Linked DNA regions of Saccharomyces cerevisiae S288C. The gene in region 1 interacts genetically with each later gene. Each region holds a gene or a part of one and is shown in the gene's direction. Other genes may lie near its edges.

Region 1 (2,873 bases):
TCTTTTTCTGGTATATAAAGCGGTGAGTTTAGAAGAAGTTCCTGTGGTGCAAGAATCTTTATTGGTATTTAAAAAATCTTTTCTTTTCCTTTTTTTGGTTTTTTGAAAAAGGGTAATAATGTCTTTTATAATAGACACCCAGAGTCACGATTCGTCTTGGTTTTAGAGATTCTGTTTCGACAGTTTTTTTAGGCGGTGGACGTATATAGTTTACTTAATCGTTTACTATACGGTGGAGTACTAATACTATTTCACTGTCGTGCTCGCGGTTGATCTTAGATAAATATATTTCTTTTTCATAAAGAAAGTGAGTGGATCTTCCCTGGAAGTACGAATAATGTACTTATGATTAGATTCTCTTCACGCACATACCTTTTTTTTTTTTTCAATTGCTAGTTCATACATACGTAGAAAGAAGGGCCAATTGGAAGCCTCAACTGTCCCCTGGTGTAAGCTTTCGCTGTTTCATCTTCAACTCAAGAAGCGAAGGTAGCGGACAGCAGGGTGACCGTGAATCTTTTCCATTGTCATTGTAAAATTTTGAGCAGCAGATGTACAGCTGATCTATAACTTTAGCGCATTTAGCATCATCGTACTGATGTGATAGAAGGCAATCTAAAATTAATGTGAAAAAACGTTAGTGAAAAGAAAAAAACGATCGAATCTTTTGAAGTTAATATTACAAACCTTGGATGGCGCAGGCCTCCTTCTGGCATGGATTAGACATATTTACCTCTTATTTGAACAAATCTCAACAACTAAAAAAACGCTCAATATCTTGGAAAAAAAGAACAGTAATATTCTGTCTCTCCACACCCTCTTCTGAACTCTCATATACACCCCATGGGTGAAAAGTAATATCCGTAAAAGTCTCGCTAACGGATGACGTTAACAACGCACGCCCGCTCCTTGCGAAATTTATTGTGGGGACGTCGTTCACGTGCAAAAGTCGCCAAATATTAGCGACGGGCAACATCGGAAAAACTCTGCGCCCGCGATTCCGATTGAGATGTGTAATTTGTAGTATTGAACGTGACAGGAAACAAAAAATATCAAAACGCTAGCAAGGTTTAAGGGGAGGGGTGAAGAACGAACGATAGGATACTGCACAAATCAGCAATTAAGAAACAATATACAAAAACCCCCAAAGTGGTCATGTTAAGGAGGGCATTTTTCCGCATGGAAACGAAACGTGGGCATGACGTGGAAGCGATGATCCGAGCGCTTCTGCTACTGTGGTGACCACCGTACCAAAGGAGGGGTAATAAGACCCTGTGCCCTTTGCCAGCATACGTGTTACCCCCCTCAAAAAGAGCTGGCTGTTCGAGCTAGCTGCTCTTTCTGTTGCCATTCCCGTACCAAGAGCGCCCCGTAGCTCGATTTTCAGCACCTTGGTGGATATCAGGGGAATTTTACCGCCGCAAGCGATCAGCGTAGAGTGCGCACAGAAAACAGACAGAAATGACTGAAGCGGATGAAAAAAAATTTTCTGGCGCGGCCCAATCTCCGCGGAAGAGTCATTCCGTGAAATGAAAACAAAAGACGCGCATAGTAGGAGAAAGATTATGCAGCTTGATAGCGGGTTATCATACCAGCGTTAATGACACCTTCAAGTGGGTAAAGTACCCTTTGTTATCGTTTTCTTGGCTACGCGGATAGACTAATTTAATTGATATATATGTAGCTAGACACGTTCATAATTTTTATGCTCTAGTGCATGTGCCTCTTACTCATTATTGTCAAAAATTTTTGCATGTAATATTTGTTTTCCGTAGTCATTCAGCACTAGCCTGTTTGTTAATATATATAGATAGACAAACTAATGACAAGGAGAATTGAATTTCTCATATAACACATACAATAAAACCAAGAAATGTCTTCAAACTATGCCACTCCTTTAGACGATGAGGTGTTTCCCTTATCTTTTGCCAATTATCAATTTACCGAGCATGTGTCACTTGGTGAGCATTATTCACTCAATACTTCGGAAGATGCCAAATATAATAATTTGAATGGTCCTTTCGTGGTACCGAGAGACACCGGGAAGTTCGATTTGAACACAAGTTCTGCCTCGGACGAGACTGTGTTCTCGTTAGATAACCCTCAAGAAAACAACTACAAACACCAAGCCATGAATAACGTCCAGGATTGTCGCATGGCCGTCGCGGCCAAAACTACCCAGTCGTGTGATAAATTGACCGATCTTTATGCCAATGCCGCCCAACAAAACTACAGATTGTGGCTGTCTTCATTTTAGAATAACGATTAAGGAATGATAATCAAAAGAAAAAAACAATCTACCTACATATATATGCACTCAACATACATAAATACACACGCATTATTGTTTCTATAAACTTCCAACAGACAATATTCCCATACAAACATCAACTAACTGATTTCCTCTTCATACGCGTTCGCTTCACGTGATGTTCCTTTTCCATTGAAAGGAGAGCTCATCACAAGAGTTACAATGGGAGTGGCGGCGCACCGTCTGCTGACAAGAATAAGTGTAAGACCAGCTACCGGAAGAAAAAAGAAAATAAAATGGATACTCTGTGTCTCCGAATGCCCCTATTTGTTGTATCCATTGATTGTTATCCTGTCTTCTTCTTTCTTTAGTTTAAATCTTTAGCGATTCAGATCCAATTGAACAAAAAAAAGGCTAGATCAAAAATAAGGGGTAAAACATCATCTTGCGGGGCTAACCCAGATCAAAAGCGGCAAGCCAAGAAAACCTGTTTGATAACACTGTAATATATATATATATATATACTATACGATCGTACCTTGGTATCCACCGCTTTCTCAGCACCTCCAAATTTCTAAAGTGCAACTAAAGAGTCTTGTCAAGTATTCTTTTACTAGTGTTA
Region 2 (3,496 bases), on another chromosome or scaffold:
TGAAGCAAATATTGAAATCTGCGCCAAAGGGTCAAGATCACGTCTGGTCAGGGCTTTCCGGTGCAGATGCCAATGAATTAGCGTTCAAGGCTGCCTTTATTTATTACCGTGCCAAACAAAGGGGCTATGATGCCGATTTTTCTGAAAAGGAAAACTTGTCTGTCATGGACAATGACGCCCCTGGCGCCCCTCATCTTGCCGTACTATCGTTCAAGAGAGCGTTCCACGGTAGATTGTTTGCCTCCGGTTCCACAACTTGTTCTAAACCAATTCACAAGTTGGATTTCCCAGCCTTCCACTGGCCTCATGCTGAGTATCCATCTTACCAATACCCATTAGATGAAAATTCTGATGCAAACCGTAAAGAGGATGACCATTGCTTGGCCATTGTTGAAGAATTAATCAAAACCTGGTCTATTCCAGTTGCTGCCTTAATCATCGAACCAATTCAATCTGAGGGAGGTGATAACCACGCTTCTAAGTATTTCTTACAAAAGCTAAGAGACATTACCTTGAAGTATAACGTTGTCTACATCATAGATGAAGTGCAAACAGGTGTCGGAGCCACCGGTAAGCTATGGTGTCATGAGTACGCCGATATTCAACCACCTGTGGATTTAGTGACCTTTTCCAAGAAATTCCAAAGTGCAGGATATTTCTTCCACGACCCTAAATTCATTCCAAACAAACCATACAGACAATTCAACACATGGTGTGGTGAACCTGCAAGAATGATCATTGCAGGTGCCATTGGACAGGAAATCTCCGACAAGAAGTTGACTGAACAATGTTCAAGAGTAGGTGATTATTTGTTCAAGAAATTGGAGGGTTTGCAGAAGAAATACCCTGAAAACTTTCAAAACTTGAGAGGTAAAGGAAGAGGCACATTCATTGCCTGGGATTTGCCTACTGGTGAGAAGAGAGACTTACTATTGAAGAAATTGAAGTTGAATGGTTGCAACGTTGGTGGATGTGCAGTCCATGCAGTGAGATTAAGACCTTCATTAACATTCGAGGAGAAGCATGCTGATATCTTTATTGAAGCATTAGCCAAATCAGTTAATGAATTATGATTGTATATTAGCGAGGCCGTGTCACGTTCCCTTTTTTGGTCTTTATATATGTGTATCTTGTTATAATTTTAAAGAAAAGTTTTATATTACTCATCAGTTGTGTGTGAAAAATATGGGCGGGTATTCACAATAGGAAAAAAAAAATGGGTTTGGTGACTGCAGTAAAGACGTGCTAAAAAAAAAAAAGTTGTTTTTATCTGAACCTTAAATATATCATTTATGAGTGTATATATTATACAAACGCAATAACAGTGGCTCCCGCCCTCCACCTCCGCCTGCTACTAGTAATCTACCAGTAATTGTGTTTGTTTTGGGAAAGATCGTTCGCTTACTCACCGAACAACTTTCTGACTCTCTTCAATACAGAGTCCTTTTCAGGGTCGTAGGGATGATCTTTAGATGGAATTTCTAAAATAGCAGGGAACGCATTGGTGAAGGAGTCCACTCTAGCTCTTATGTTTTCCGCGATATGTTGGTTGATTAGAAGGATGGCAATATCGTCTCTCTCTTCAGTAAAGTGATTAAACTTGTCAGTGATTTCCTCCTTAGTAGTCTTACCTTCTTGGTAAACAAAAAAGTTCTTTTCTTGGGTTTCAGGAGTGATTTGTCCAATCCCGGCTAACAATAAACCAGTTGTAGTATCTTCGTCAGCTATCACAGCTATAAGAGTACGTTTCTCAGCCATGATTTAGTTACTATGCGTCAGTGAGACTAGCTATGAATATAGAAATGTAGTGCTCTATTTTCTTAATTCTTTGTCAACTCGATATAATAAATGTAGTGCTTGCAATTCACGTTGGTTTTCCTGTTATCGTTCGCCTTTATTTTTTTTTTTTCTTTCGTTTTCCTACTTCCCTTTACCGGCGTAAGCGCAGTGAAATTTTTTTAGTACGCACGTACGCAAGTTTCAGCAGCAATAAGGGGAAAGATGATGATAATAACTAAGAAAAACAGCAAACTTGGTATGAACGCATCAAAAATTGGAAAATGTTGGTAAGAAATAGGTATCTGGGTGAACTGCTCAAAAACTCTCGATCGTTTAGTGTGCTGAATTCCTCGGTACGTTCAGGTCACAACAAATGGTCAACCATCAAGCACGGTAAAGCCAAGAATGATGCGGAACGAAACAAAATTAATAACAAGTTTGCAAACCAGATAGCAATGTCAGTCAAGTTAGGCAACGGTATTACGGATCCGAGCATGAATATAAGATTAGCCACCAGCATCGAGCTAGCAAATAAAAACAATGTCAGCAAAAAAGTTATTGAGAACGCCATCCGGAAAGCTTCTGGAAGCAGCGCATCGGGCAAGGACTCAAACGCTTCTGAGCTATGTGTATACGAGGGAATGGGGCCCGGCGGGGTCGCTATAGTGGTGGAAGCGCTGACAGACAACAAGAACAGGACCATAGGTCTGATAAGGAGTGCATTTAATAAAGCTAATGGATCGATGACTCCAACGTTGTTTTTCTTCGACAAAAAAGGATACGTTACAATGGTACCTCCGAAGATGTTAGACACTGAGGACAAGGTGCTAGAAAGCGTACTGGAGATTCAAGGCATCGAAGACATTGCGCCTGTGCAGGAAGACGCAGAAGATTTAGAGTGTGATACCGAAACTGAAACTACAGGCCAAACTTACGAGGCGGTGATGGAACCTGCCGATACCAATAAGGTGGCCGCCCTACTGAAGGAGCGTGGTTTCCACATCAGAGACTTGGGCATCGGCTACAATGCCAAGCCGGATATGGAAGTTTTCGTGCAAGGCGATGAAACGCTCGAGAAACTACAGAAACTGACCACAGCGCTCGAGGACATCGACGAAGTGACGTCGTTGTACACTAACGCTAGCAACGCTTAATCCAACCAAACCGTAAATAAATAATCAATACCACAAATACCTGTATATACTAAACAAACAGTAGTAATAACTGTAATAAAGAGTAAAAACAACAACAAAGACAATCGTACGTAAAAACACCAAGCGGACACCAGCACTTGCCTGCTGCGGACTGTTGTCTGCGGACTGGCGGGGGTCGAGCAAGAACCGACGAAGTAACCGACGGAAGGCGGGCGGAGACGGAGACGCAGCCGAGATCTATTTTTACTCAGCGGTAATATTAGATCATGGCTAGGGGGATCTGGAAGTACAATGATGTGCTCTCCCCCTCTCAAACACAACACCAGGATGAACTAAGGGCTCATCTCGAAAGTCGAAGGTGCCTCATTCAGGTTATTAGTGGTGCCTGTTGTGTCTTCCATGAACAAGGAGCACTTAATTACTTGTTGTTGCATGAGATATCATTTTTTTTTTTCCCTCTTTCTTGGGGTCTTGACAGTCATCAAATCGAAGTTTTTAGTTTTTCTTCTTCGGGAAGATCAATTTTAGGTAGAAAAGTGTAGATGAAAAACGAAGGATACTGC

What was found.
Region 2: mutations in ICY1 (region 1) and DPC29 together harm fitness more than expected from each alone (negative genetic interaction), as found in Saccharomyces cerevisiae (2 studies listed by BioGRID).

Annotation. Positions count from the first base shown.
Region 1 is NC_001145.3:652,161-655,033, forward strand, and holds ICY1 (Icy1p), read left to right. Parts: upstream 1-1,873; coding exon 1,874-2,257; downstream 2,258-2,873. Other genes in the region: CMC4 (Cmc4p), read right to left, coding at 434-615, 688-727. UniProt on the Saccharomyces cerevisiae protein: Required for viability of cells lacking mtDNA.
Region 2 is NC_001139.9:525,572-529,067, forward strand, and holds DPC29 (post-initiation translation factor DPC29), read left to right. Parts: upstream 1-2,060; coding exon 2,061-2,933; downstream 2,934-3,496. Other genes in the region: UGA1 (4-aminobutyrate transaminase), read left to right, coding at 1-1,073; VMA7 (H(+)-transporting V1 sector ATPase subunit F), read right to left, coding at 1,402-1,758.